Linked DNA regions of Macaca mulatta. The protein of the gene in region 2 interacts with the protein of the main gene of each other region in a pairwise test. Links are inferred from orthologs where the notes say so. Each region holds a gene or a part of one and is shown on either strand. Other genes may lie near its edges. The genes, in order: SS18L1, RFX6 and FRS3.

Region 1 (3,652 bases), on a different chromosome or scaffold from region 2:
GCAGACCCTCCGCGGGCCACACCCCAGCCCGCACCCCCAGTGTCCACACCAAGGCCCCAAGCCTCACTCCCCCAGGCTCCCCACAGACAAGCACACAGCCTGGCACTTCACCACCCGGGGCGGTCAGCCGTGCCCGAGACCTGGCCTGGCCGGGCGTTACCTTGCTGGGAGGGCCGGTAGGGCGCCATAGGCCGCTGCCCCATCATGCTGCTCCCCTGGCTGCCCTGCCCCATCATGGCGATGGACGACTGGCCCTGGTAGTGCTGGCTGCCGCCCTGAGCCGAGCTGTAGTGCGACGTGGCCGCCTGCTGCTGCATCATGGAGACTGCACGACAGGACAGAGGCCCCACATCACCCCGGGAAGCCTCCCTCCCTCCCTCCCACACCCAACTACCTCCTGCGCCCAGGCAGGTTCCTCGTTATTTTCCTGTGCTCCGCACGAGAACGCCACCCTCCCCTGAAAGGCCTGCACTGACGCCCTGCATGCTCAGACCCGCTGCTTACACCGACTATTTGAAAATGTGCCGACGTGCAGAAAACAGGGAGAGCCCCTGGGCAGGAAGATCCAGTGGCTTCCACAGCCAACCACCACCTTTCCACCTCTCCTCGGACACACAGCTCCCGTGACAACCCCACTTGCGCCGTGGCTCGAGTCCTGTTCTCCCCAGTCCCTTGAGCTGGCCTCAGGGGTCACACTGTCCCCTCCCTAGTCCTGTTCTCCCTGGTCCCTTGAGCTGGCCTCAGGGGTCATACTGTCCCCTCCCTAGTCCTGTTCTCCCTGGTCCCTTGAGCTGGCCTCAGGGGTCACACTGTCCCCTCCCTAGTCCTGTTCTCCCTGGTCCCTTGAGCTGGCCTCAGGGATCACACTGTCCCCTCATTAGCACCTGTGCAACCTCGCGGCCCTTCACGCTGGCCTGTCGTACACGTCCCCTGCTCAGAAGCCCCTAGCGAAGCGCCATCCAACAGAAATGACACGAGCCACACTTTTTAAAGTTTCTAGTAACCACATCAAAAAAGTAAAAACAAACAGGTGAAATCCATTTTAATCGTGCATTTTATTTGAGTCAGTATGTCCAAGACAAACGCTTAATACTCAGTTATTGTGAGAAAATCCTAAGGAGGTCCTCGGCACCCTTTTTTGGCAGTAAGCCTCTGAAGTCCATGTGTCTCCAACACTCAAGAAACTCAACCAGGACCGACGCCCACGAAACGCGACCGGGGCCGATGCTCATGGAACGTGATGGGGACCTGCTGCTTCTCAACTGCCCAACACCACACGTGGCCACCATGGCGGATGGCCCCATTCTCGGGCTCCTGCTGCCCTGCAGAAAGGCTGGGGCCTCTGGCCCAGCGCTTCTGGCCCCTTGTCTTCTCCACTGAGGTGCCTCTAGCCAGGCTGTTCCCTCCCTGGGGAACAACTCTACCCCCACCTCTGAGAGCCCAGTGCTCTGTCCAGACCCAAGGCCAGTGGCCCCCGCTCCCTGAAGCATTCCCTGAGACTCCATGGGAAACACTCCAACCCTTCGCAAAGCTGGGGGACAGGAGGGGTTGGCTGTGCACCCACTGGTGCCCATCCCTCCGGAAGCTCTCAGAGGCGGCGGCCAGCCCTGATTCACGGGCCCCTCTCCCGCAGCACCCAGCAAGAGGGCAGCTCCCCAGGGACACATATCCAACATGCATGTGTCAAGGGTCTTGGAGGCAGGCCCAGGCCCCCCGGGGTTGCAGAGGCAGAGGAGGTACCTGGGTTGGACTGCATGTTGATGTTGGTCCGAGACACGTAGTTGCCGATGGTGCCTTGCCCCTGCATGGGGACGCCCTGTGAGGCGGGCCCCGCGTGGCTGTAGCCAGGCCCCGAGATGCTCATGGAGGTGGTGGGTAGCGTGTTAGGCGCCGTCTGCTGCATGGACACATGGCTCGGCCCTGGCAGGGGGAGCAGGGAGTGGTGTCAGGCGCTGGGGAGCCAGGTCACCACTTCTGAAGGTGAAGATGCCCCAATTTCCCTTCAAATGATTTTGGGAAGAGATTCTATCAACATCACTATTAATGATTAAGTGACTAAAAAAGAAATAAGTGGCCTGGTGCAGTGGCTCATGCCTGAAATCCCAGCAGTCTGGGAGGCTGAGGTGGGTGGATCACCTGAGGTCAAGAGTTCGAAACCAGCCTGGACAACATGGTGAAACCCCGTCTCTACTGAAAATACAAAAAAATTAGCCAGGTGTGGTGGCAGGTGCCTATAATTCCAGCTACTCAGGAGGCTGAGGCAGGAGAATTGCTTTAACCCAGAAGGCGAAGGTTGCAGAGAGCCAAGATCATGCCCATTGCACTCTAGCCTGGCCGACTAGAGCGAGACTCTGTCTCAAAACAAAAAAAAAAAAAAAAAGAAAGAAAAAAAAGCAGCATACATGCTAGCAATGTACAGCATGCACTGTTTATTTGTTGTTATTTTGTTATTTTCTGAGACAGGGTCCGGCTCTGTCACCCAGGCTGCAGGGCAGTGGCATGAACACGGCTCACTTCAGCCTCACCCTCCCAAGCTCAAGTGACTCCCCCTCCTCAGCCTCCCAAGTATTAAGCAGTTTGGACCACGCGTGGGCACCATCACACCCAGCTAATATTTTTATTTTTTACAGAGACGAGGTTTTGCCATATTGCCCAGGCTGGTCTCAAATTCCTGGCCTCAAGCAATCTGCTGGTTTAGGACTTACAGAGGGTTGGGATTAAAGGTCTGAGCCACCATGCCCGGCCTGTTATATTACTATTAATAGTCTCCAAACGTTACTCATGCTTCTTAATTCAAAGACAGGAGCATTCCATTGTTATTACACAATCCACCTGGAACCTGGCAACTTGCATTTGAAATGAATGGAGTATGACAGTGTCAGAAAGAGCAGGCGATCTGGAGCAAGGGCTCATCCCAGCCACATGGCAAGCTCGCTGCGGCCCTGAGCCTGGGCGATGGCAGCTGACCTGTGGCTACCCCAGGAAGAGTGGGTCCCCATGCCCAGCCCTGTGACGGGTGGGGTGCCCCACCATGGCAGCTGCCTGCCCAAGGGCTGCCTTGGTGGCCTTGTGACCAGGAATGCCCTCCTCCCCCGCCGCACTCACCGTTGCCAATCTGGCCCTGCAGGAGGGAGGAGGGTGGCAGGCCCGTGCTGATGGCGTCACTCAGGCTGCCCTGGGAGTGCAGGCCCTGGCTGGAGCCACTCTGAGTCAGGGCTCCAGGGCCCAGGTTCATGTTCTGCGTGGGCGGCTGCAGGCAACAGGAAGTTTCCAGGGAAAACGGTTAATTCACGGAGAGCGACCTCCACAAGCCAGGCCAGGGATGAGAGGGCGCCTGAGATGTGCTGCCACATGTCATGGCCACCTGGTCCATGTTCGTAATCAACAGCCATTGTCACAGCCAGGTGACCGCAGAGCACCAGGCCCAACAGCCAGGTGACCTCCGAGCACCAGGCCCAGACGGAGACGGCATAGTGAGTGTCTGGGTGAGCGTTCGGAACTCTGCTAGTATCGAGTTCATCCACACATGCCTGGGTTTGAAAAGCTGGACCTCCTTCTCCTGGGACAGCAGGGAACCCCTTCCCCTGTCCAACCCAATGCACCCTGTCCTTCTCAGGCGCAGCTGGCCGGCGCCTCTGTGCTCCCCGTCCAC
Region 2 (2,392 bases):
GCCCAGGCTGGAGTGCATTGGCAGGATCGTGATTCACTGCAGCCTCAAACCCCTGAGCTCAAGCAATCCTCCTATCTCAGCTTCCCAAGTAGCTGGGATTACAGGCATGCATCACCATCCCTGTCTAAATTTTAAATTTTTTCTGAAGTTGAAGTCTTGCTATGTTTGCCCAGGCTGATCTCAAACTACCAACTTTAAGCAGTCCTCTCTCCTTGGCTTCCCAAAATGCTGAGGTGCCTCCCAAAGGTGTGAGCCACCACCCCTGGCCTGAAGTTGTCCTCCTAAATACCACACATGTTACAAAAAAAAAAAAAGAAAAAAGAAAGATAGGTAATATCATATGTTTGAGATCTACCTTAACAGCCCCAAGGAGGAAGGTTCTGTCTTTTGAAAACATTTTTAGTGGATAATATTTCTTCCAGATAACTAAAAGCAGATTTTAAAGATTGGGTCCAAAACGGGCCAATAAAAATTGGAAGTTAAGGGAACTGGAGAGACCTGTGACCTTGAGTCACCAAAATAGGCTTTGTGTGTAGACATCTTTGGTGTCTTTCTCCTAAGGGTAGGCCAGTCTTTGTCTCCCCTAAATATGCATCTATACATGAAAGTAGTATTTTTGTGACAGGTGATAGTGCTTTTTTCTTTCTTAGTAGGTAGCTCTTGTTAATTTAGGTAAGGGAAATCTGACAGAGGTGTAATCTGGTCTTAAAGTTAATACAATTATTATGTATTATGCTATAATTATTATATTAAATTATGTATGATGCTACAATTCTTACGTATTAAAAACAAAAAAACAGCACAGTAAACCTTATCTATATACAAGCGCAAATCCAGTTCTGTAGCATATATAGATAGATACACATGTAATACTTGCAGTTTGATATCTTTAGCACATCACCTAATTACTTTGTCACCTTTTTGCTTTCTGAAAGTTCTTTGTAGTAAGTTAACAGCAAATTCTCAACATTTTCTGTTACAGGATACTATGGAAGCAACATAAACTACCCAGAGTCTCATAGGCTGGGATCAATGGTGAATCAGCACGTTTCCGTCATCAGCAGTGTTCGCTCACTGCCCCCCTACAGTGACATCCACGATCCACTTAACATTTTAGATGACAGTGGTAGAAAACAGACCAGCTCGTTTTACACAGACACATCATCTCCAGCTGCATGTCGAACTCCAGTCCTAGGTAAATTATTTTAGTAGTTCTTGGAAACATTTTAAGAAGTCGTTGACCTCAGGTATGCAGCATTACTTGAGGGAGATATGCTGAGGTGAATTGAGCAAGCATGTTCCCACGGTTGATTTATTATTATTACTTTGGATCTAAAGTTATATTTTTTGTATCTGACTACACAGTAACAGGTTTTCATTTCTTATTGTGTATATCTCTATTATGCAACCTACTGCTAGATCTGTTATGTTTTACCAAAAAATAGCTGGTATCTATTAAGGAGGCAAAAAATTAATATGACCTGTCAAATGCAGTCTAAAACTGTAAGTTTTAAAAGGGCAGTAATAATATCTTTTTCTCACTCTTGATTAGTGTTGGACCCAGTTGTAGTGGCAAGAGGTATCTTTAGGTCTCATGATCTCCATAAGTATCCAAAAATCACTCCAAGATTTAAAAGAACTGGTGTCCTGTGATGGGTGCTACTAGCATTCTCTCATTCTTATTTAAAATGTGATTCAACACCTCGAGAAAATGTTGCTATTTTTATTGCTCTCTGACATATCATGTGAGTAAAAATAAGAAAAACAGTGTGCTTGCCATGAAGCCTCCTGGAATCTTCTTCCAACCAGGTTACCTTTCTTAATCCTTGTCTATGAAGAAATTCTGCAACTGGTACTAGTTGCATCACCAGCACCTAACAAAATGTCTGCCACATAGTAGAAACTCAATAAGTGAGTGAGTGAAAAAAGGAATAAAAACTATATATATATATATATATATATATATATATATATGTATAGTCTATAAATAATTAGTATAATTAGTATGTTATTAGTAATAACATAGGTTTAGTCACTATAGATTTAGCTTCTAAAATTACTAATAAGATTTCACAGGGCAAATATATATTCACTAAGTATCAAGGCAGAGTGTTAATATTTATATGAGATGGTTAAAATCTTCCAATGAAATTGATTTCAGACTAGCATAAGTAAAGGGCATTGACACACAACTAGAGCATAAGGGAAAATGGAATCAATTTCATCTCTCCTCACTCAGTGTACCTTTCCAATAATTCAATAGGAAGTACTCCTTCTCTTCCTGTCACTGTCACACATGCTCCCTGAGCAGAATCTAGCAGCTCATCTCCTGCTATCTGCAAATGGTCATTGCTTCTAGGTTACTCTAATGAAGCAGAAAATTCCACTTCAG
Region 3 (3,752 bases), about 120 Mb from region 2:
CCTGAAGGGCAGAGCCCGAGAGGACTTAGGGCTTGGGGAGGTGGAGGGATGGGAAGATTTCTGGGGACAGTGGGAGGGAGAAGGAAGGGGAGTGCCCGGTCCCGCCGAGTGCCCTCTCGGTAGATCCCCAAAGCTTTTCTAGAACTTGGCGGGCCCGCCTCCGGGGCTGGGACGCGGAGTTTCCCGAGTCCGCTGGGCTTCCGGGTCTGGCTGCTGGGATTTTAGGGGAGTGGACCAGGACTTGGCTGGGGTCTCACCATCGCTGTGCGTCGCTGTCCGGGCAGTTCTGGACCGACTCTGCCGTCAGGCCCCTCACCCAGACCCCACCCGAAGGCGTCAGCGCCCGCCCCCGTCCGCCCCCGCCGGCCCCCGCCCTCACTAACAGCGCGGCCCTTCCTCTCCCACGCCCCAGGGGTCCCCGCTCGCCCCTCCCCTGCTGGTGGAGAGGGGCGGCTCAGGGAGGGGCCTGGAGCTGCAGATTGGGGGCGGGGGGGAAAGCAAAACAAAACCACATTTGTGGGATCTCAGGGTGGAAATGTGCGGGCTCCACGGCCTCTGCCATGCAGGTGCAGGGGCTCAGGCTGGGACTGCGCCCGGCGGGCATCCAGTAGACGCCGGGAGCCGCGTTTACGCTGGGTTCTCAACCACTCGCTGAATGGAAACGACTCGCCGGGCGCGCAGCCCTGTCCCTCTGCAGTTCCCAGGTCTCCCCAAACTCTCCCTCTGGTCTCCCAGCCCCGCCCCTCCGCGTGTTTCCCTTCAGTTCTCTCCCCCTTGTCTCCAGTGGTCCCCCTGGCCCCTTCCCCTCCCCTCAGCCCTCTTCCGGGTTACATCGTCTTGCCTGTCTCCCTTCAGGTCCCTTCAGACCCTCTCCCCTTCCCTTCGTTTCTCGCCCAACCCTCCATCCCCTTTTCGCTCGCTGCAGCACCCCCAACTTTGGTGTCCTCAGCCCCGCCTCTGCGCCCCGCCTCCGCCGCAGGCTCCGCCCTTCCCCCCCGCCGGGCTTTCTCAGCCCCTGGCCAGGAGCGCCCTCTAGCGTCTGCGCATGCTCACTGCTCCCGACTGCAAAGTCCTCCAAAGGGACCTTCTAGGCTGCGTGCCGGTCGCCCCCGCTCGGGTCCGCCCGCCCGCAGCGTCTCGTTGGTGCTGCCGGTGACCTCCGACCCCGCGGCCGCGGGGCGGGGCGGGGCGGGGAGGCCTTAGCTCTGGGCGGGCGGCGGCTGCTGCAGCGGGACCCGGGAGCGGGGCCCGGCGCCGCCCGGGCCGCGGGGCGATGTGAGTCGGGGCGCGGCGGGGCGGGGACGAGGCGGCTTCACCGAGGCCGCGTCGCGCCGCGCCGCAGTCTCCACTCCCTCCCTAGGAAGCCCCGGGCAGGCGGGCGGCGGAGCACCGGGGCTGGGGGCGGGGATCCGGGGAGAGCGCGCACCCAGACCTCTTCATTCCTTACGGGCGTCTAGAAATTCCCCTGACAGTCCTGCAGACTCTGGCTCCCCTAACCCACCTCTACCCTTTCCGCCCTGGACACACCATCGCATCTCCTGGAGCCCTCAGAACCCCCTCACTCGCTCAGCAAATCTGCTATGCGCACGGACCCAACATTTCTCTTGGATGCCCCCAAATGCTTCCACTGCCCGGAAATTCCTAGGATCCCTCATATCCGTATTCTCCTTGCACTATCCAAAATGCCCACATCCAAAATTCTTGCTCATGTTTCCCCAAACGTCCTCATACGTTTTCAGCCCCCACACCCCATCTAACTCCTGCCCCTGATCATACCTATCCAAGACCAGAGGCCTCTCGCCATTTCCACTCAATGCAGTCCTTCCTCAGTGAGCTATGTGGTCCATCCTGATATCTTAAGGAGAAGAGATGGTGATAGGGAAGTGCAACCCCTCCCCCATCTTGCACCCTAGAGTTCTTGGTGCCCCCACCCTCCCCCCACCCCGTCTGTGGCTCAAGCCCCAGTATTTTCCCAGCAACCTGTCTTTAGTCCTTGCACACCTCCCTGAGCCTGCTTCTTCCTTCCAGAAAATAAGCCAGACCAAGGGGATGGGGTCCTTTTACCTGGAAGTTGTCCAAGGTTGCAGGGTGCAAGGGGCCCTGGGAAGTATTGTTTCTCCAGAGCAGGAATGTGGAATGTCCAGGGGTCTGCAGGGTCCTGGCTTGTTGACGTGTTTACCTTGGGCTCAGAGGCCCTGAAATTTTGGCTTACTGTTAACATTTATGTTGAAATTAGACCTTTCAGAGCTTGGGGAGCAGAAAATCTATCAAGCTTCCAAATGCGAAATTGAAGCAGCCTGTCTTGGAAGAGGAACATGTCAATTTTAGTGATGTTTGTCTTACATTTTTGCCTTACAAGTTATTTAAGCTAGAAGCTCCCCAGTTTATAGATGGTTTCCCCAAAAACTAAGACCTTAGGTGGGAGTTGGGGGGTTGACTTAAGTCTCCCAGATACTTAGTAGCAACAAAACTGACCGGAATATTGGTTTCCTGAATCTTAAACCAGTGCTCTCTCTACTATATCACAGTGTCCTTTTGAGAAAGCTCTTTGTAGAGTTAAAGTTCTCTGCAAAGGTAAGGTGATGGTTTTGATGTTTGTTGTAACAGGACTCAGAGGGAGACACCTAAAGTGACTTAAAAGGCCTTGGCCAGGCGTGGTGGCTCACACCTGTAATCCCAGCACTTTGGGAGGCTGTGGCGGGTGGATCACAAGGTCAGGAGATCAAGACCATCCTGGCTAAGATGGGGAAACCCTGTCTCTACTAAAAAAAAAAACAAAAAAATTAGCCGGGCGTGGTGGCGGACGCCTGTAGTCCCAGCTACTGGGGAGGCTGAGGCAGGAGAATGGCGTGAACCCAGGAGGCAGAGCTTGCAGTGAGCTGCGATCGCGCCACTGCACTCCAGCCTGGGTGACAGAGTGAGACTCCGTCTCAAAAAAAAAAAAAAAGAAAGGCTTTGGGTTGTCTTAGACTTCAAACTCATTGATGCTCTGGGAGTCTGTCCCTCTCAGGGCCCATGGGGCTTGGAATTTGTGCTCTCTTTGCCCTTGATTTTACTTTCTTCATTGGTGTTTTTGTCCCATTAGGGCTGAAACACATATCCAGGTGGGATGGACTGCCAGGTCAGTTTAATTAACAGTTGGGGGTGAAGATAGAAGGTTTTATTAATCAGTGTCTCTGTTTCCTATGCTAGGTGAGCCCCAGGTGTATCCCAGAGGGATCCAGGTGACTTCTCTGCAGACTGTTTGCCATGACAGCCCAGCAAGGACAGGGGGAATAAAGTGGGAACCCTTCCCCATGCCCTTCCCAATGGCCTGGGTGAGGTAAGAGCTGTGTATAGGAGTCAGTTTTATGGCGTTTCCCAAGTTGGGAGGAACAGAGGATACAGGTCACCTGGTTATTCAAAGCTTTACCATTCAGCAGGAGTTCTAGAAGGATAGCCAATCCTACAGACTCATTTCTTGTGACAAGTTGCAACCCCTTAAAACTTCTGCTTGGTATTGGTCCATGCGTTTCTTGTTCCCTTAGGTCATTCAGGCCTGGGTGGTGTCCTCTTCATTCTAGGCACAGCCCTGACTGTTGTGACATATCATCCAAGTACCAGAATCCTGGAGGGAAGAGCCAAATAGTAACGCCTCTGGTCTCCCCTTCAGACAAAGGGAAGCAAACCCAGCATTTTGTGTGTGTGAAGAAATATCCAATTCAGGTTATTAAAATTGTGCACAGTTTTAAATGTTCAGTCTTCCGAATGTA

Evidence for each region.
Region 1: the proteins of RFX6 (region 2) and SS18L1 interact in binary tests that used the Homo sapiens proteins (3 or more experiments, as listed by UniProt). The two-hybrid records come from large-scale screens. The link is inferred for Macaca mulatta from reciprocal best matches to the Homo sapiens genes RFX6 and SS18L1.
Region 3: the proteins of RFX6 (region 2) and FRS3 interact in binary tests that used the Homo sapiens proteins (3 or more experiments, as listed by UniProt). The two-hybrid records come from large-scale screens. The link is inferred for Macaca mulatta from reciprocal best matches to the Homo sapiens genes RFX6 and FRS3.

Annotation. Positions count from the first base shown.
Region 1 is NC_133415.1:114,953,576-114,957,227, reverse strand, and holds part of SS18L1 (calcium-responsive transactivator), read right to left. Parts: intron 3,251-3,652; coding exon 3,106-3,250; intron 1,921-3,105; coding exon 1,741-1,920; intron 326-1,740; coding exon 161-325; intron 1-160. UniProt on the Homo sapiens protein: Transcriptional activator which is required for calcium-dependent dendritic growth and branching in cortical neurons. Recruits CREB-binding protein (CREBBP) to nuclear bodies.
Region 2 is NC_133409.1:21,955,451-21,957,842, forward strand, and holds part of RFX6 (DNA-binding protein RFX6), read left to right. Parts: intron 1-982; coding exon 983-1,195; intron 1,196-2,392. UniProt on the Homo sapiens protein: Transcription factor required to direct islet cell differentiation during endocrine pancreas development. Specifically required for the differentiation of 4 of the 5 islet cell types and for the production of insulin.
Region 3 is NC_133409.1:140,394,507-140,398,258, forward strand, and holds the start of FRS3 (fibroblast growth factor receptor substrate 3), read left to right. Parts: upstream 1-1,244; 5' UTR 1,245-1,275; intron 1,276-3,192; 5' UTR 3,193-3,322; intron 3,323-3,563; exon of another isoform or gene 3,564-3,705; intron 3,706-3,752. UniProt on the Homo sapiens protein: Adapter protein that links FGF and NGF receptors to downstream signaling pathways. Involved in the activation of MAP kinases. Down-regulates ERK2 signaling by interfering with the phosphorylation and nuclear translocation of ERK2.